5 linked regions of the Cricetulus griseus genome follow. The protein of the gene in region 1 interacts with the protein of each later gene in a biochemical or structural test. Links are inferred from orthologs where the notes say so. Each region holds a gene or a part of one and is shown in the gene's direction. Other genes may lie near its edges. The genes, in order: Cryab, Cryba1, Snca, Cs and Ccnd1.

Evidence for each region.
Region 2: the proteins of Cryab (region 1) and Cryba1 form a complex in vitro, tested with the Homo sapiens proteins (2 studies listed by BioGRID and IntAct, with this or other methods). The link is inferred for Cricetulus griseus from reciprocal best matches to the Homo sapiens genes CRYAB and CRYBA1.
Region 3: the proteins of Cryab (region 1) and Snca form a complex in vitro, tested with the Homo sapiens proteins (4 studies listed by BioGRID, with this or other methods). The link is inferred for Cricetulus griseus from reciprocal best matches to the Homo sapiens genes CRYAB and SNCA.
Region 4: the proteins of Cryab (region 1) and Cs form a complex in vitro, tested with the Homo sapiens proteins (3 studies listed by BioGRID). The link is inferred for Cricetulus griseus from reciprocal best matches to the Homo sapiens genes CRYAB and CS.
Region 5: of the proteins of Cryab (region 1) and Ccnd1, one has a biochemical effect on the other in vitro, tested with the Homo sapiens proteins (2 studies listed by BioGRID, with this or other methods). The link is inferred for Cricetulus griseus from reciprocal best matches to the Homo sapiens genes CRYAB and CCND1.

What each region holds. Positions count from the first base shown.
Region 1 is NC_048597.1:162,499,344-162,503,433, forward strand, and holds the start of Cryab (alpha-crystallin B chain), read left to right. Parts: upstream 1-1,286; 5' UTR 1,287-1,374; intron 1,375-1,414; exon of another isoform or gene 1,415-1,888; intron 1,889-1,949; exon of another isoform or gene 1,950-2,086; intron 2,087-2,185; exon of another isoform or gene 2,186-2,457; intron 2,458-2,517; exon of another isoform or gene 2,518-2,575; coding exon of another isoform or gene 2,576-2,635; exon of another isoform or gene 2,636-2,712; intron 2,713-2,784; exon of another isoform or gene 2,785-2,908; intron 2,909-4,090. Other genes in the region: Dixdc1 (dixin), read right to left, coding at 2,576-2,580. UniProt on the Homo sapiens protein: May contribute to the transparency and refractive index of the lens. Has chaperone-like activity, preventing aggregation of various proteins under a wide range of stress conditions.
Region 2 is NC_048600.1:91,133,354-91,137,446, reverse strand, and holds the start of Cryba1 (beta-crystallin A3), read left to right. Parts: upstream 1-1,290; 5' UTR 1,291-1,359; intron 1,360-4,093. UniProt on the Homo sapiens protein: Crystallins are the dominant structural components of the vertebrate eye lens.
Region 3 is NC_048601.1:81,915,694-81,919,865, forward strand, and holds the start of Snca (alpha-synuclein), read left to right. Parts: upstream 1-1,370; coding exon 1,371-1,491; intron 1,492-4,172. UniProt on the Homo sapiens protein: Neuronal protein that plays several roles in synaptic activity such as regulation of synaptic vesicle trafficking and subsequent neurotransmitter release.
Region 4 is NW_023276806.1:129,531,446-129,534,356, reverse strand, and holds part of Cs (citrate synthase, mitochondrial), read left to right. Parts: intron 1-1,116; coding exon 1,117-1,316; intron 1,317-2,054; coding exon 2,055-2,184; intron 2,185-2,310; coding exon 2,311-2,412; intron 2,413-2,822; coding exon 2,823-2,911. UniProt on the Homo sapiens protein: Key enzyme of the Krebs tricarboxylic acid cycle which catalyzes the synthesis of citrate from acetyl coenzyme A and oxaloacetate.
Region 5 is NC_048596.1:56,400,295-56,404,478, forward strand, and holds the start of Ccnd1 (G1/S-specific cyclin-D1), read left to right. Parts: upstream 1-1,383; coding exon 1,384-1,581; intron 1,582-2,981; coding exon 2,982-3,197; intron 3,198-3,632; coding exon 3,633-3,792; intron 3,793-4,184. UniProt on the Homo sapiens protein: Regulatory component of the cyclin D1-CDK4 (DC) complex that phosphorylates and inhibits members of the retinoblastoma (RB) protein family including RB1 and regulates the cell-cycle during G(1)/S transition.

The sequences.
Region 1 (4,090 bases):
CTGGGTGATGAAGGATAGCTTCAGATATACTTAGATTATTCCCAAGAGGTGGCTGAATACATGTGTGGTATTCTTAGTCTCAGTAGAAATAATTTCTCAGAGGAACTAAGTGTATTCTGACACTGTCTTTTAAGTCCCCAGTTAGTCTTATCACATGACTCTAGCAAAAGAGATTGAATGTTACTGGGCCTATTAAGCAACCTTGAGCCTGGAATAGATCAAACAAGGCTCCCACCAACCATACCAATTGCTTCACTTGTCCTGTTATTCAGTAACATGATTGTGTGATAGTATGGGGGTGGGGTGGGAAGAAGAAAATGTATTATATGAGAATTTATGTTAACTAAGGAATCATTCAAATTTAACATTAATATTTATATTATTTAGAGGTATAAAACCACAGTGCTATTTTGTTTTTCAGAGTTCAAATCTACTAAGGACTCTACTACTAAGGAGAACATGAGTCTGCAGAGAGAGCAGTTTATGGGAAGAGTAGACAATTCAAATACCACAGGAGCATATTACTGAATGGCTCTTAACAGAAGAATTGATTGCAAAGTTGTCTGACTGTTGCTTTTAGAAATATTCTATTACCAGCACAGGAAGAAATATCTTTTACTCCCCCTTCCCCTTGTTTTGGAAGAACTGTGCTGTTATGCAATATTTATGTAGAGTCATGGAAATGATAGCCAGGCCACTTCATTTTCACATGGGTCTTCAGATGAAGATTTAGAAATGAAAGACCAGCAGAAAGCAAAGACTAGGACTTGGCCCTGTGCCCGTCACCTTCTAATCAGAAGGTGGGTCCTGACACCAAAGAGCCGGGTTAAAACAGAGAAGGGGGAAGGGCATTGGAGGACCAAGGGACTTTTGCCACAACTGATGAATGGGTAGGATTTACACAGCTAAGGACCAGAGAAGGCCCTGGAGCAGAGAGTGAGAAGAGATGAATGGGAGTACTGGAGGCACTTAAAGAGGTGTGTTTCCTGACTCTTCTGTGTTTCACCTCTGGGTCTGTAGCTCTTTGTTAACGATTCCCTTACATGTGTTCAGTGAGAAGTGATGCGAAGATGAGGAGGCCAGCCATGCAGGCAGGATACAAGCTCTGCCCTTTGATGAAGGTTGTAACACCCCTCAGCCAAAGGAAAATTCCAGCACAGTTGGTCACACTGGCAGAACATTTCCGTTGGATTTTTTTTCTCTGTCTGTGTCAGGAACAAGGCTGGGGCACAGGGTGGGAGGAGGGCAGAACTGGGGTAGGTTCTAAGGCAGGTCACAACTCAGGGCTTCTTAATTAGAAACAGCGATCAAGGAGGGAGCCTGTCGTGCAGCTGGAGACAAAAAAAAAATCCTACATGGAAATTCATGAGAATGGTTGGTTGCCTCTAGGGGAAAGGTTGGGAAGGGGGTGGAAGCAGGGAATGGCACAAAAGACTCTTCCATCTTGCCTGTAACGTTAATATTTAAGAAGAATATCAGGTTAGGGTGTAGCTCAGTGGTCTAGCCCCTAGTCATATGCAAGGCCCTAGGTTCAGTCACCAGTGCTGGGGGTGGAGGGTTATATTTTCATATGTTATCTGACTAAAAACTGATTTTAAAAGCACAAGTTGCTGCCTTAAAGGGTAGAGGAGTAGGGCAGTGGTAGAACACTTTCATAGCATGCCCAACCCCCTCCCCCAAGAGATCTTAAATTTAAAAATTCGATGGAGAAGGGAGAGGTGCACAGAGGGAAAAGTGGGCAGGAAGCCATGACCAATAGCCTAAGCCTTCCTGGCTGCTGGGCTAAGGCAACCAAAAGGATGAGTGAGGAGGAGTGGGGGCAAATGGAATGGCAATGGTCTCAAACAAGAATCGACTGGATCACAAAAGAAGCAAAAGGAAGAAAGAGGTAACAGAATTCTGAGAGAAACTTGTGAGGAGAAAATGAGCCTGAGTCAAGCCTAGCTCACCTTTCCTGTTAGATTGAGGATCCCCCACAGCAGTTCTCACAGAGGGGAGCAAATATTGGCTCCTGAAACTGGGCCTGTGACCCAGGTTGCTCCTCTCAAACAACCTTGTCCTGGGTGGTGGAGGACATAACGGCGCAGGACTCAGGGAATTCACACGTGGAAAGGACCACCCGCAGTCTCCTGCCCTCTCAAACTTTCTACCAATGCCACACCACCACACCCCTCCCGTGACTCATCCGGTTAGCTCCTGAAATAGAAAGAGCTAGCTGCCTCCTGTTCAGGGCTTCCCTCAAGGATGTCCCTGGAGAGTCCCCAAGAGGCGTGGGGACCACCTTTCCTGCAAGGAGATGCCTTCTTAAGTCTGTGGTCCTCACTGTCCTCGGCACTCAGGAAGGTAATCGTTCAGCTTAGAGAGAGGCCCACCGCCCTTCTGATGCCCTCAGGTTCCTGCATCTATCTGCACCGCACCCACCACCTTGGCTCTGTACCCAGGCTCTTCAACTCTGACGTATGATGTGTTCTGGGCTCCCCCAGAGGATGCCCCCCGCCCCAGGATTCCCTTCCGGAGATTAGGCGGGAGGCGTGGGGTGACGGGGAGCTGGGGGTGGGAGGAGCAGGGCAGTTACCTCATTGAAGCCCTCCTGCAGGACGTCCAGTAAGTTCCCGCGGGTCAGGCAGGCTAGCATTGTTCCTGCCGTGGGGCTCCCCGGGTGGGGTCGAGCCGCCTCCTCCTCCTCCCTCTGCACACAAAGGCAATCGGCTCAGCTCCCTGGGATCTCTCCTGAGTCCCGCATGCCACTTACTGGAAACCTAGAGCCGAGCCAAACTAGCGGCTTGCACTGGGCATGCTCGCGCGCAGGCCGCAGCCGGAGGGGCCCTGGCGCCGTGTTGGTTCCTATAGAAACAGTCAGGCGCGCACGGCAGGCACCGAGAGGCAAGCGGCCAGCCCCGGGCAGCCCGTGAGTGCGGGGGAATCCGAGGGCGCGCGCACACGCTCCGGACTGGTGCGCGCGCACGCGCGCGCGCGGAGAGCACTCACACACGCGTACACACCTACACACCCATGCTGACACAAGTGGGCTTGCCAGCACGAGCATATGCTTACAATCACTACACTGCAGGTTTGGAGACGGGCATCCCCGCGCGTGCGCACGCACACGCAGGCGAACACACACACACACACACACACACACACACACACACACACACACACACATTCACTCTGCTCTCTTAAGGCTGCTAGCACCTCACCACACACACACACACACACACACACACACACACACACACACACACACACACACACACACACACACACACACACACATTCACTCTGCTCTCTTAAGGCTGCTAGCACCTCACCACAAGGTGGATGGGAAAAGGAGTGAGTCACAGGATTCCCCCACCCCATTCTTCAGCAACCTTTTTCCACATGTGAGGCAACCTAACAGAGGAAGTAGAAGGGCAAGAAAAAAAAAAAGAGGAGGAATCAGGAGAGAGCGGCTGGGGTGGTGGTGGTGGTTGTTGGGGATGTAAGTAATTGAACAGTGCTAAACAAATCATAACATCACAACAAAAACATCAAAGATGATTCAGGATGGCCATGGTTTTACCACATGTATCTCTTCTCTCTTTTCAAAATAATTGCTGTAAGGGGAAAGGTGGGCAAGGTGGCTCAGGGGATAAAGGCTCTTGCAGAAGCTTGGCACCTGAGATCAATCCAGGAACCATGTTAAAGGTGGAAAGGGAGAGCTCACTCTTCTCTGGTACATGCACCCATATACACATCATGCTGTCTCACACATTAATAATTAATTCTAAAAATAAAATAACTGCGTGGTGGTGTACACCTGTGATCCTTTACTGGGAGCTCGAAGCAGGGAATCGGAAGTCATCCTTGGCTGCATAGCCAGTTTCTGGTCAGCCTAAGCTATGTGTGATCCTTTCAATAACATATATATATATATATATATATATATATATATATATATATATATTTCAGGCCTGGCACTCTAGAAGCAGAGACAGGAAGGTCTCTATGAGTCCAAGGCCAGCCTGGTCTACATAGCAAGTTCCAGGCCAGCCACAGATATATAGTGAGATTTGGACTCAAAAAAAGAAAGGCAAACCTTATTTTAAGG
Region 2 (4,093 bases), on another chromosome or scaffold:
GTTAGATTCATTTATGCTGTGGAATATTTGTTTAACGATGCAAAGATGTGCTGCATTCTTTCTTTCTTTTTTTTTTCTTTTGGTTTTTTGAGACAGGGTTTCTCCTAACTGTCCTGGAACTCGCTCTGTAGGCCAAGCTGGCCTTGAACTCACAGAGATCTGCCTGCCTCTGCCTCCTGAGTGGTGGGATCAAAGACATGTGCCACCACTGCTTGGCCTGTGCTGCATTCTTTTATGTTACATTTGTTTAACTCTGTGAAGCTGTGTTACTTTGCCTGTCTAAAACACCTGGTTGGTCTAATAAAGAGCTAAACGGCCAATAGCAAAGCAGGAGAAAGGATGGTGGGGGGCTGGCAGGTAGAGAGAATTAATAGAAGTAGAAATCTGGGAAGAGAAGATTGAGGAACAAGAGAGGAAAGGGAGAGGAGGACGGACGACAGGGGCCAGCCACCCAGCTACCTAGAAAGCCTCACAGTAAGAAGTAAAGAAAGATATATAGAACAGAGGAAGATACAAGCCCAGAGGCAAAAGGTAGACGGATAATTTAAGAAAAGCTGGCTAGAAATAAGCCAAGCTAAGACTGGGCATTCATAAAAAAGAATAAGCCTCTGTATATGATTATTTGGGAGCTGGGTGGTGGGTCCCCCAAAATAGCTTAGAGTAAAACAACAAACAAGCCGGACGTTGGTGGCGCACACCTTTAATCCCAGCACTCGAGAGGCAGAGCAGGCGGATCTCTGTGAGTTCAAGGCCAGCCTGGGCTACTGAGCAAGTGCCAGGATAGGCTCCAAAGTTATACAGAGAAACCCTGTCTCAAAAAACCAAAACCAAACAAACAAACAAAACAACTATAAGTCTCTCTCCTTTTCCAAAGTGTGAAGGGACTGAGTCTCCTGGGCAGGGATCTAGGCTGGAGGGTGTCAGACCCACATCCTCATCAAAAAGGCACTCCTCCTGGCTTCCCCAGTTTTCTATTTTGATTTAAATGAGGATACTGCAGGCCTTCCTCTGTAGATGAAAGTTTCTGTCCGGCCAGGTCCCCCAGCTGTTTAATCCCAAATAAACACACAGAGGCTTATATTAATTATAAACTGTTTTGTGGATGGCTCAGGCTTCTTAGTGGCTATTTCTCTCTTAATTATTAGCCCATTTCTGTTAATCTGTGTATCTCCATGTGGTGTTAGATTACTGGTAATGCTCGGGTCTGTTTCTTCCGTGGCAGCTACAAGTCATCACTCTCACAACTCATGCTTTCTGTTCCTCTTCTCAGAATTCTCCTAGTCTGGTATCCCCGCCTATACGTCTTGCCTGGCTACATCCTGCCTGTCCATTGGCCAAAACAGCTTTATTCATCAACCAGTAAGAGAAACATATTCACAGCATACAGAAGGACGCCCCTCATCCTTCCTCTCCTCTTCTACCCCTCACGTGGTTATTATTGAAACTACGATTATAATTTAAGGATTTTAAAAATATGCATGTGGGTGTTTTTCCGGCATGCATGTCTGTATACCACTTGCATGCCTGCTGCGTAAGGAAGTGGAAAGCGTCAGTTTCCCTAGAACTGGAGTTATAGACTGTGTGAGCCGCTATATGGTGCTGGAAATACAACCCTGGTCCTCTGGAGGAGTAGCCAGTGCTCTTAACTGCTGAGCTGTCTCTGTAGTGCAATGATTTTTAACTAAGGTTAAATTATTTAAATATTTGGAGGCTCACCAAGTGCGGGGTACAGGACACTAACCCTTTCCCCCTGCTTTCTCCTCACTTCAAAACTGAAAGAAAAAGCCTATCAGGAAAAGCAAGCTAATTACTGGAGAACCCTGGCAGGAGAGCCACGTCCTAAGTTCTTACCTCACCCTGTTTCTCTTCTCCCCATTTTCCCACAAAGGTCCCTGCTTCAAAATGCCCTCTTTGGGCCCCGAGGCCGTCGCCAGTCATTCCTGCCGTCTCCTTTTCAAAAGATTATTATTTTATTTTAAATTATCTATGTGTCTGTAGATGGGTGTACGTGAGTGTGGGTACCTTCAGGGATCAGAGGCGTTGGGTCCCCCAGAGCTAGTATTGCAGGTGGTTGCTGGGAGTCTGTTGAGGGATCTTAAACCAAACCTGGGCTCTCTGCAAGAGCAGTACATGTACTCTTTTGGGGTGGGGGTGTTTGTTTTGTTTTGTTTTGTTTTGTTTGAGACATGATTTCTCTGTGTAGCCTTTGCTGTCCTAGAACTCAATCTGTACATCAGGCTGGTCTTGAACTCAGAGAGATCCACCTGCCTGTGCATCCTGATTGCTGGGATTAAAGGTGTGTGCCACCACCGCCAAGCAAAGTGACACAATCACAGGCCTTCACACTCTCTTACCCAACAGTCTGCTTCTTGACGCAGGTGTCATCTACTGGTATCATAAAGACCAGACACCCGACACTTGTTCCGGCATGCACCCACAACCACCAATGCTTCTCAACTCCTTCAAAGCAGCCCTCACAGGCAGATACATCACTGTGAGTTCAAGGACAGCCAGGAATACACAGTGAGACCCTGTCTATAAGGCAACAAGAAGGAAAAGGAAAGAAAGAAAGAAAGAAAGAAAGAAAGAAAGAAAAGGTGTAAGTGCTAAGATAGGACTTTGATGGATGTAACTTGGTGCTATGGTAGAGTACTTTTTCAGCATGTGTGAAGCTCTGGGTTTTAGTGTGTGTGTGTGTGTGTGTGTGTGTGTGTGTGTGTGTCTGTGTTATAGAGATAGGTGCTTCCAGTACTACTCTCTATGCAAATTGATTCCTTTACTGTTCTTAGCAATTTTTTTTTTAGATTTATTTACTATGTATACAGTGTTCTATGTGCGTTCATGACTGAACACCAGAAGAAAGCATCAGTTCTCATTACAGATGGTTGTGAGTCACCATATGGGTGCTGGGATTTGAACTTGGGTCCTCTGGAAGATCAGGCAGTGCTCTTAACCTCTGAGCCATCTCTCTAGTCCTGCTCATAGAAATTCTAAGAGCTACATATGTTTTTGTGTCAGCCTGAAAGATAATAGTGAGTTGTAGATTGACTAAATTACTGGAGATCACATAGTTAACATGCCCAAAGCTGGCCTGGCATTGGTGGCGCACGCCTTTAATCCCGTCACTCGGGAGGCAGAGGCAGGTGGATCTCTGTGAGTTCGAGGCTGACCTGGTCTACAGAGCGAGTTCCAGGACAACCTCCAATACAGAGGTTGTCTTGAAAAACAAAACAAAACAAAAACAAACAAACAAACAAAAAAGGCCAAAGCCAGTTTTGAGCCCAAGTAGTCTGAATACAGGCAGTCCTACTCTGGGAATAGGAGGGAATGGCTACTGGCATTGCTTCACAGAATTCCCAGGCTCTGTCCCACAGAGTCTGACTCTCTAGGCCTCAAATAACAATCAGGACTGCTTTTTAATTGCATATCCTGTGGACCACACTTTGAAAACTCCCATCTTTTCTTCTAGCAAAGTCTTTCCTGTGCCTCTGATCCCTCTTCCCCTGGGAATGTGCTTTCCCTATGGGCTGGGGATGCTTGTGCTCTGAAGCCAGACTTATGCCCCCTGGTGGTCAGAGATGAAAGATCAGGAGGGTAGCCAGCAGGATCCTGGGTCAGCAGGACAAATTCCAATATTCTTGAATTCCATTCAGCCAATTATCCCCTACCAGCAGTAAACCAGTGTCACACACAATATACCTAACAGAAACACGACTTCATATGACAGCTCCTCCAGGGTGACTATCCACCTGTTCTGGTTTTGTTTTTTGTTGTTGTTTTTGGTTTTTTGAGATGGGGTTTCTCTGTGGCTTTGGAGGCTGTCCTGGAACTCACTTTGTAAACCAGGCTGGTCTCGAACTCACAGAGATGCCTCTGCCTCCTGAGTGCTGGAATTAAAGGCATGCACCACCGCCCTGCCTGTCCATCTGTTAGATATATTCATTCCAAGCTGCAGGTGGACAAATCGTACCTGGTCCAGTTATTTGTATCTTACAACGTGCAGCTCTAGACTCTAGGTCTTTACAAGGCTGCAAAGATATTTTCTCTTTTTTCTCTTGGCTGGCCTCCACCTCCAGGCTGGGATTACAAGCAT
Region 3 (4,172 bases), on another chromosome or scaffold:
GAGAGGCGCTGACAAATCAGCTGCGGGGGCGACGTGGAGGAGCCGGGGAGCCAGAGCGCCTAGCAGCAGACGGCAGGAGACCAGCAGGTGCTGCCCCTGCCCCTCCGCCCAGAGCCTTCCTTTCCACTGCCACTGAAATAAGATCAGGGGCAGAGAGGAGGAATCTGAATTCTGCGAAGCCAAGGGCGCCGGTAAGTACCTGTAGATAGCAGCAGCTCTGGGGATCCCGGAGAACCCTGGCTAAGAGGAGTCCCGATGCCTGGGAGATCTCCAGCTGAGGCTACCTCAGCGGTGGGGACACGGCCAGTGCATTGAAAGTACATTACTTGGCTTTCCTCGCGCTAGAGACGTGCTCTTCCATTCTCCCAAAGCCCGAGGGGAAACCAGGCTGTTCGTGGCATCTGCTTTTTCGAGCGGAAACGCCAGGGTGTTTCGTGTTGGGTGCTGGGTCCTGGAAGCTGAGCGCTGGGCGTTGGGAGAAACCTGAGCATCCAACTTTCATCCCCCACCCCGGGCACGTTCTATCTCTTATCTGGAGTGTAAGGAGGCTACATTTGGCCAGTGATTAATAAAAGTGCCTAAGGCACTTGGCAACAGGTGATAAGGGGTTAATGAGCACGGGGGTGCAGGGTTTTCAAGCAGATTCCAGTTGAGGACAGGGCCCCCAGGTTGGGTAGAGCTGAAGTGAGCCGGCTCAAGTGTGTGGACAGCGCCTGCTCCGGGCAGATAACAGACTGGAGAGCTAGCAGTGGGTGGAAGGTCTTGTTAGATTTGAACAGCTGGGCTGATGACAGTTGGCGTGCTGTTCCCTTCATCTTGAAGTAAGCAGTTCCCTTCCTTCCCCTCTCCTAAGACTAAACACTTACTAACCCCTTTCTGAGTCCTTTTACCCTTGCCCCCGACTTCAGTACCCCCTTCCATTGGTTTTCTAGACAAGCTTTTTACTTAGAATGTCGCCTTTAGGCCCTGGGAACTTGATGGGGTAGAGTCCACCCATCTTGCCATGTAACTCCATTTTCCAGCTGCTGTAAGAATGGCCAGGTGATCCATCTGGATCCATCCCATCTTTAAGTGGCTTGACTCTTCCTAGATTTGAGTGAAAAAGCTGACAAGCAACACCATGCCCAGTCCTCAAAACAAGCAAGCAAGCAAGCAAACAAACAAACAAACAAACAAACAAAAAAAACGAGTGTTCATTTACACAGAGATTGGGGAGGGGGGGTCTCTACTGATTTTTCAGTGATTTCTTCCTTGATTTTTAAAAAAATTCTTCCCATTCTAGCTGCTTTAATCTTGTTTTCTTTTACTCAAATTTTTAATTCAAAGTGTATTGTGTATTCTCTAGAGTGGAGGAAAAGACATCTTTCGCCATGGATGTGTTCATGAAAGGACTTTCCAAGGCCAAGGAAGGAGTTGTGGCTGCTGCTGAAAAAACCAAGCAGGGTGTGGCAGAAGCAGCAGGAAAGACAAAAGAGGGAGTCCTCTATGTAGGTAGGTAGTGGTGCCGTGACTGATGAGTTGGAGTGGCTAATCACTCAGTGCTGGCATGTGGTGTCTGATTCATGCACATAGCTGCTTCTCAGGAGAGTGACAGGTATGTGGAGGTGAGAGAATTGTGAATCTGCTTGTTAGCTCTCAGAAACAAATGGGAACAATGTTTTCTTTCCTTAGAATACTTAATTTTATTGCTTACTTAGGGTTTTCCATGTTTCTGTGTGTGTGTGTGTGTGTGTGTGTGTGTGTGTGTGTGTGTGTGTGTGTGAGCACATTGGGATTTTTAAAACTGGCAACCCATGAAAAATAACTAAGAATATGCTTATGAATCAGACCCATTTACAGCAGCAGGATGGTGGCATGTGGAATCCCAACATTTGGGACATGGAGGCCCAAGGGTCAGGAGTTGAAGATCATCTTTAGCTACATAGTGAGTTCAGGGTCAGTCCAGTCTACATGAAATCCCATCACAAAACAAAACAAAACAAAACAAAACAAAACAAGAGGAGTCCCAGGCCCTCACGGGACTTTGGCTTCTTTCATCATCACCATAGATAATACTTGTTAATTGCAATTTTAAAAATAAAACTGTAGTATGATTGTATTTAATATCTGTGAAAATACACCTACTTTGGTCCCCCAATAGAAAAAAAAAAAAAGGCAAGTTGTTCTTAGTGGATCTCCCTTTTGAGATGAAGCTCAAGGAACCTCAGATGTGTTTGTGTAATCACCTGGATGATGCACACAGGAAAGAGCAAGAGGTTGATACTCGGTGCCTTTTGTGCCTAAGTGTAAACCTTGAGACAGAGGTCAACACTGTTTACTGGCTTTCCCTGTGTTAAACTGGTTGCACTTCCAGTACTTTGATGGAGGGAAAAGACATATATGTATGCATGCACATTCATCTCCAGCAGAGACCCAGGTGCACAAGGGAGCAAGGATGCATGACTCACCTGCCCCCTCTGTGCTTCTCTGAGCTTCCCTACCTTCTTAGGGGGCCTCTATCTCAGTAGAAGGCAAAGGGTCAACCTTAAGATGGAAATGGAACAGACAAGTGGCAGAGGTGACAGAGAGGCCACACACTGAGACTGAGACTTACCAAAAGTGGGAAGCTGTGCTGGCGCTCCAGCTCTAACTGATTAGTGGGAAAAAACCTTTCATGAACTTTCAAAGTTTCTAGCATATCACCTTTGCTCATTCCTCATAGATTGTTTTTATGTTGACTCCCTTTCCACCTCAAAACAACCTTTCAGAAAGTCTTGAAATGAATATTAAAAGAGAAAGGTGTGAGTCAAGTGCTTCTTTTGGGAACAGTGAGGTCAATGTTTTTGATAGAATCCAGAATATAAAATCAGTTATTTGTAGATTTTTCAGGGCCTCAAAGTCTCCCACATCCTGCAACTATAGACCCATGACTACATTTTTTAATTAGTTACTTAGTGAATGTTATCTTTCTTCTTTTTAGACAACTAGTCACCTAATTTTCTTTTTTAATTTTTTTTTTTTTTTTGAGACAGGGTTTCTCTTATGGTTCTGGCTGTCCTGAAACTCACTATTTAGACTAGTCTGGCCTTGAACTCACTGAAATCCACCTGCCTCTGCCTCCTGGTACTGGGATTAAAGGCATGTGTCACCACCTTCCAGCTAGAGCATTAATTTTAAGCAAATGTAGAAGTTACTGAATATTAATTTATTATTCTTTCTAGTTAATAAACAGATCTTATCAAGTAGAACACTTTCATGTTTTATTGTTAATTGTGAGTTTAGGCAAATAAAGTGATTAGATTTTTCAAAGATTAATTTTGTTGTTCACTGCGAGGCAATTATGTAAAAAGCATAATGTTTCAATAAGTCTAATGTTACTAAAATTATCAATGTTGTTATATTTAATACATATATAATTAATCAATTGCTGGTTATGTTCTGGAGTCTAATTAAAAGCTGAACGTGGGTGGTGGTGGCACATGCCTTTAATTCCAGCACTGGGGAGGCAGAGACAGGTGGATCTTTGTGAGTTTGAGGCCAGCCTGGTCTACAGAGTTCAAGGACAGGCTCCAAAGCAATACAGAGAAACCCTGTCTCAACAAAACCAACCAATCAAACAAACAAAAAAAAGCCAAACACATGCATAGAATTTACTATGAAAAGTGAGGTCTAAAGGTAAGAATTAAGTTAAGATTTTGGTCAACTTTTGTTAATTTTCAAACTTATTTCGGCCAATCTGTCTCAGATAATCAGGTCTACTGTTAAAGTGTGAAAGCAACCATGGGCAATAACCAGTGTGGTGCTGTTTCAGTTTTTATTTATCAAAACAAGAAGCTGGGGTTAACTTATAGGCTAGAAAAAAGTGAAAGGGAATTGGGCTATAACTTATCAAACAAACATAAATTTAATACAAGCTACATCACTTCTACCTTTAGGATCTTGAGGAAGTTAATGTCTTTGAATTTCCTTCCCTTTTCCACAAATAATGTAGTTCATAAAAGTACAATTCCTTTGCAGAGCTTTTGTGGAAATGTGTAACCAAGTGCACTTTCATATTTAGGAAACTTGATTTTTATTAAATAAGCTATTCCACTCAACATGATTTCCTCTTATTTTTCACCAAATATATAAAACTATCATCAATAATTAGCCTGAAGGATTAGAAATAATCTGGGCTACAATTTGTCTCAGTG
Region 4 (2,911 bases), on another chromosome or scaffold:
CCATTCTGGCCATTCACAGAGATCGCCTGTCTCTGCCTGCCAGGTGCTGGGATTACAGGCGTGCCCACTACTGCCTGGTGTGTATATGTTTTCAGTAGCCAGTTTGTGTGCTCTTTCTTCTTGGGGTATATTTTTCAAGGTTTTTGTTTGTTTGTTTTTTGTTTTTTTTACATGTGTGGGTGTTTTGTCTGCAAGTATGTCTGTGCACCACATGTGTGCAGTGTATGTGGAGGTCAGAGAGGGCATCTGACCCTCTGAAACTGGAGTTAGATCGTCATTAGCTACCATGTTGAGTGCTGGGAATTGAACCTGGGCCGTCTCCAAGAACAAGTGCTCTTAACTACAGACCATCTCTCCAGCCCCATGTTTTAGGTGAATTTTTAGGCAATTGCCAGATATCAAACCTAGGCCCCCCTACATGCTGGGCAAGTTTTCTATTAAAGTATATGGTATCGAAACCTTATGATATATATAGCATAATATGTATCTAAAACCTTGAAGCTTTTGCTATTCAATAATTGGTCAGCACTATTTGATTCTTAACATATGTAATAAATTTTCACTGGAACTAAAATGCAGAATTAAATTAAACATTAGAATAAAGAAATAAAGAATTAATTTAGAAATGGGCCAGTGAGATGGCTCAGCAGGTAAAGCTGAGCAATCCTAGAATTCTGACCTCAGTCCCCAGAGCCCACATAAAGGTGGCAGGAAGAAGGGACTTCACAGAGTCACCCTCTGATCTCACTGTGTGCTGTGGCCTGTGTAGCCCCTGCTCCCTTACACACACAGTAGTAATAATAGTGATATCACATCTGTTTAGTGTCCTGAGAACGTCACAAAGCAGCAGATCAGGGTTCAGATCTCCCTTTAATACTTACCTGAGTCCTCTGTGAGTGGACAAGACAGGTCCAGTAGGGCACACACTGCAGACACTAGAAGCCTCGGCTGCAGTCATTTGCTCAGCATATGGTTATTGTCATTCTATACCTGAAATGCAGAACCGCCCAGCATACTGCTGTCAACCCAGATACTGTTGAAGGACAAACAAAACAGTATTGCAGCCTAATGCTTTGCATGTAATTCCCTTTTTTTCTCCGTCTTTTCTTTCATCAGTTGATTTATGAAGATTGTATGGACCTGATTGCAAAGCTCCCTTGTGTGGCAGCAAAAATCTACCGGAATCTTTACCGGGAAGGCAGCAGCATTGGTGCCATTGACTCTAAGCTGGACTGGTCCCACAATTTTACCAACATGTTAGGCTATACTGAACCACAGTTCACTGAGCTTATGCGTTTGTACCTCACCATCCACAGGTGAGCTACAGTTAGTAATTATATCCCTGCTCAGGTGCCTGGAATGATGAGAAACTCTTTCTTGGTTTGTTTGTGAAACAGGATCTTTCTACATAGCCTTGCCTGTGCTGGCCTCAAACTTGTAAAGATCCTCCTGCCTCTGCCTCCCAAATGCCAGGACTAAAGGTCCCAGCAAATGGGGGGGCGGGATGGATAGGGGTATATTATAAAAGCTCCTTTGCCGGGTGGTGGTGGTTAAAGCATTAGGCTGCAATACCTTAAATCCCAGCACTTGGGAGGCAGAGGCCAGCCTGGTCTACAGAGTGAGTGCCAGGACAAGCTCCTTAGTGTTATTATCTGGGAACAGACGGTCTGTAGCAGAGGGATAGAAGCATCTTGTAACATGAGAAGTAGGCAAGAAATGAGGAAGAAAAGCTGAAAGGCTGAGGCAAATCTCTCCTGATTGGAAAGGGGTAAGCTGCTCACCAGGAAGGTCAGCTTTCCAGGAGCGCCCTCTTGTGGTCATGGTCATTAAAATGGGCTCAGTAGCTGAAAATAGTTTGCCTACTGCGGCTTTGAGCTCTGCATTGAACCTAACAGTGGCAGTGGGGTGAAGAAGACTGGTGGGGGAGAGAGGGAGCAGGGCAGGTCCAACTGACCGCTGTGGGTGTCGGGAGCCCATGGGGCAAAAGGAAAGCCATGTCTGTCACCCATAACCAGCCCTTTTCTTTCCCTTTGGCTCTGCCTTCTGTCCCACAGTGACCACGAGGGTGGTAATGTGAGTGCCCACACCAGCCACTTGGTGGGCAGCGCCCTTTCAGACCCTTACCTGTCCTTTGCAGCAGCCATGAATGGGCTCGCAGGGCCTCTGCACGGGCTGGCAAATCAGGTAAGCCTAGCTTTTGTGGCTTCCTGTTGTGTGTTTTTTACTCACATGCTCTGCCCCTAATCTTGACATTCTTTCCTTGACATGTGTGCTGATGTCCCTCTTCCCCACCCTACATCTACCGTGTAGGAAGTGCTTGTCTGGCTGACACAGCTGCAGAAGGAGGTAGGCAAAGACGTGTCGGATGAGAAGTTGCGAGACTACATCTGGAATACACTCAACTCAGGACGGGTAAGCAACCAGGAGAAAGACTGAGACTCAGACACTGCAGTGTGAAGGAAAATTCCAGGCCGAGACCTTGTCTCAAGTGGGGAGAAAAAAAGAATAAAAACAGCCCCTGCATTAGCCAGAAGAGGCCGCCTTTCCTATTGTTTCCACATCTGTTTACCTGGTGGGTTTAGTTTTCTTTTCTGTGTTGCTCGGGCTTGTCCCCAGCATCTGCTGGCTAGACAGCTGCTCTGCCACTGGTCTATATTCCCAGCCCTTTATTTTGAGACAGGGTTTCACTGAAATGCCCAGGCAGGCTTTGGATTTACCATCCTATTTGAGCCACCAGGACCAAATTACCTTAAAATGAAGGGGGGTGATGTACCTGGATATGCTTCTCTGTAACTTTCCCCACTCCCTCCTGCCCTTTACAGGTTGTCCCAGGATATGGTCATGCAGTACTAAGGAAGACTGACCCACGATATTCCTGTCAGAGGGAGTTTGCTCTGAAGCATCTGCCTAA
Region 5 (4,184 bases), on another chromosome or scaffold:
AATACGTGACTAGTTCTCCTGAGTTGGGGTCAGGATTGTGAAAACTTTAAAGAAAAGGGGATTAACAGACTTAGGTGGTGGAACCCTTTCATCCTAAAAACTTTTACTTGACTAAGTATTAAGAGAATATTGGGAATCCACTCGTGTAACCACGAACATCTGTAAGTTTTCTCTACGCATCACATAGGCGCACACATTTGTCTTGATTCCGACCAGCCCCCCAGGAACTCACGAATGCCGCCCCAACTAAGGTTCTAAAGGTAGAGGAACGGCCACACCCCCAACAAAGCCTATCGGAAAATTTCCGGTGGTCTGGTTCCTGGCAAGGTGACTAATACTTGCAGTGATTTAGTTTTCTTAATTAAAAAATAAATTAGGAAACAGCCCATCGTGTCTCAGCCTTTCCTTCAAAGGTTTATTTTTCTTGGGTAAATCGCCCGCACTGGAGGAACCTGGCCAGAATGAACTGGTCACCGTAGGAAGGCAAATCGAAGATTCCTCCCGCGAGGAGGATTGGATGAAAGAAATAATGGCCACCATCTTGAACTGTTGCTGGGATTTTTGAGATTTTATTTTTGAGCGAGTGCATGCTAGGCTACATCTCTGGCCCTTTGCAAAGACCCCCAGTGCACTAGGATGGAGCCTGCACCGGAGCTTAGGGTACGTCCAGCATCTTCGCTTGTTGAACAGTTCCTGAATTTTACACGTGTTGATGAAATTGAAAGAAGATGGGGACGCCGGGATTTCTAAGCAATCCGTCCGCCCGTGGGTGCCCTCGTGGCGTCCTCGGAAACGTGCCCATTCTCCTGGCTTGAATATAGGGTGTCCTTGGGTCCCCAAGATCCCCCATCCATTCAGTCTTCTCTGGCTTGCGTGTGGCCTGGCCTCCCTCCTAGCTGTCCTGTCCAGAGCTCCCCTCCCCCGCCCCCTCCACAGATCTCAGAGGAGCCACTTCTGAGGAAAGTGGGGAAAGAAGACACCCCACCACTACCACCCTCGCACCGCTTTTTCCCAGCTTGGAGAGAAGCAGTCCGAGCGATTTGCATATCTACGAAGGTCGAGCTGGAGGGGGGGCGCTTTGGGCTTGTCCCCTAGCCGTTTGCAGCTCCCGAGCCCCCTCCCCCTGCGCCCGCCCCGTCCCTCCCTCCTCCCTTTCTCTGCCTAGCTTTGATCTCTGCTTAACAACAGTAACGTCACACGGACTACAGGGGAGTTTTGTTGAAGTTGCAAAGTCCTGCAGCCTCCAGAGGGCTGTCGGCGCAGTAGCAGAGAGCAGCAGACTCCGCGCGCTCCAGAGACCGGCAGTAGAGCGCGAGGCAGCGCGCGCCAGCAGCAGCCACCGGAGCCCAACCAGGACCACAGCCCTCCCCAGGCGGCCGCGCCATGGAACACCAGCTCCTGTGCTGCGAAGTGGAGACCATCCGCCGCGCGTACCCTGACACCAACCTCCTGAACGACCGAGTGCTGCGAGCCATGCTCAAGACCGAGGAGACCTGCGCGCCCTCCGTGTCTTACTTCAAGTGCGTGCAGAGGGAGATTGTGCCGTCCATGCGGAAAATCGTGGCCACCTGGATGCTGGAGGTGAGGGGCTACAGCCTTCTGGCTTGGGACCCCTGGCAACTTGTTGCTCCCACCCACATCTTCCTCCCTTCTCTTCCCTTCAGACACGGAGTTTTCCCGCAGTGTTGCTAGGAATCGGATTCTCAAAATAAATAGATACTGCCGGTATTTTTAAACGAGGAAGGTGTAGGAGTTGGGGTAATGGGGATTCCTTTTCTTGGTGGGGGGCAGTCAGGGAGGAGGGCTTTCGAGGGAGGACGATGGCAGGGACACCCCAGAGGGTGCGGGCTGGGCGCCTTTTGTAGCCCCCGGCTTGCGCCCCATTCCTGCTGCGCCTCGGCGGTGGCCTCCTCCGCCAGCTCGGGGGGGAGGGGGCATAGATTTGATTTTTAAATTAATATCGGTGGACACGTATGCAAGGCCCGCTCGTGTCAGTATTATGCGCCATCTTTGCTCCTTTATTGCAAAGCAAAAGTGTTTATTAATAATTGGGGGCAGGGCGGGGAGCGGCGGCGGGGGCGCTGGACAGGCACGAGGGGCCTCGCGGCAGCCAGGAATCACCAAACGGGACATAGCGATCGATATTTGGGGGGAACCCTTTGTTCAAGTAGCAGACCCCTGAGCACCCTCGCACAGGCTGCCTGGCCCAGTGAGCACGCCAGTCTGCAAGGTCGCGTGGCCCCCTAGTCGCTAGAGATTGACCGTCGTCCGCGCGGGTCTGAACTTGGGGGTTTCTATCCAGGTCAAGCCGGGGGACCAGAGCACATTTCCAGATGCTTAGCGGGAGTTTCAAGAGCCCCAAAATATTTTTAAATAATTTCTGAAGTGCGGCGTGGTGCCCTTGCAGAGAGGCAAACGGCACCCGCACCCAGCAAAAGGGGGGCCCCCAGAGTTTGAGTTGCTGGGGCTCACTCTCCAACGTACACCGAACTCCTGACCCTTGGGTTGGATAAAGGGTCGCCCGATGGTTATTTTCGAGCCGTTTTTAGGCGTCTAGTTATTTTTTAAATATTTTTAAATATTTTTTGAAAAGATGACGTCTGGGAAATGAGGCGCGGCGGCCTGGGACGCCACCTTTGTGTCTCGCGTGCGCGCGAGCGGCGCCCAACCCCCGGCGCCCTGCCAGCCCCGCGGTGGGATTCCCTAGCCTGCGGCCTTCTAATTCCAACCTGGGTCGGGGTCTCCGTGGTCACCGCTGCTGAGCTTCCCCGCGTCAGCTGCCCAGGGACTTTCCCTTTCAGTTTCAGGGTGGGTGGGTACTGAGCACCGCGCCTCCCGGGGAGTTTGCCACCGCGACCCCTCTCCGTGCTCTCGCCACGTATTCGCTCTGTGTAATCTAGGAAAGAGATACGGGGTCACATCGAGCGACACCCCCCAAAACCCCCCGTTGACGGTCACGGTCACGGTCCCGGTCCCCGCAGGTCTGCGAGGAGCAGAAGTGCGAAGAGGAGGTCTTCCCTCTGGCCATGAACTACCTGGACCGTTTCCTGTCTCTGGAGCCCCTAAAAAAGAGCCGCCTGCAGCTGCTAGGGGCCACCTGCATGTTCGTGGCCTCCAAGATGAAGGAGACCATTCCTTTGACCGCCGAGAAGTTGTGCATCTACACTGACAACTCTATCCGGCCCGAGGAGCTGCTGGTAACCAAGGACCCCACCACCCGCGTTCCCTCATTATCTGCATGACCCCCCCCCCCGGGTGGTGGGAGCTGCAAGTGACAGGAGGCCCAGGCAGCCTCGGGTAGATCTCCAACCCCACGGAAGTCATCCACACTGCACTACACCTAAGTGGCAGTGGACAGAATCCCAAACCCATTTCACCTCTGTGGCCCCCCTCTCCTGGACTCCCCACCATGTCTGCGGTGAAGCCACTCTGAAATGTGGACGGCTTGCGCCCCCTTGCGGCGCTCGAGCCGCAGCGCTGGCGGTGAAGGGTCTTTTTGTCTAGTGCTTGTTGCCCACTCAGTCTTTCTACATTTTGTTGTTTACCTATCAGTGGTGCCCGGCTATCCCACTCTTTAAACCTCCTTCCAACCGGCCTGCCCTCCTTTTGACTTTGTTCCCCATTTTCTGCAGCAAATGGAACTCCTTCTGGTGAACAAACTTAAGTGGAACCTGGCCGCCATGACTCCCCACGATTTCATCGAACACTTCCTCTCCAAAATGCCAGAGGCGGATGAGAACAAGCAGATCATCCGCAAGCATGCGCAGACCTTTGTGGCCCTCTGTGCCACAGGTAGGGCCCCCACCCCCACTCTTCCCCAGGAGATCTCAGACTCCTTGCGGTTCCTTGGCTAATGCCTGTTTCCTTACTGTCTCTTCTGTACCATATGATGGTCTCAGGCATGTCTAGAAGGGGGTCCTTTCATCTCTGTTCTGAGCCCAGGGGCAGATAGCTTGTTGGGGATAGATGGTATTGGGGGCCACGATAAAGGGCCTTGGAGACCTAATCGAATGGCCCAGCTCCCTGTGCCAGGCTTTTCACTGCACGCTTTCTGAAAAGGTTTTTGCCTTGGTTCCTGGGCTGCCTGCCCCCACCTACCTTCTGTCCTGTCTGTGTCTTTAAGGGGCCCCATTTATGGGGGTGGGCTTGGGTTGGTAGAGTCCTGGGGGAGGGTTGGAAGGAGA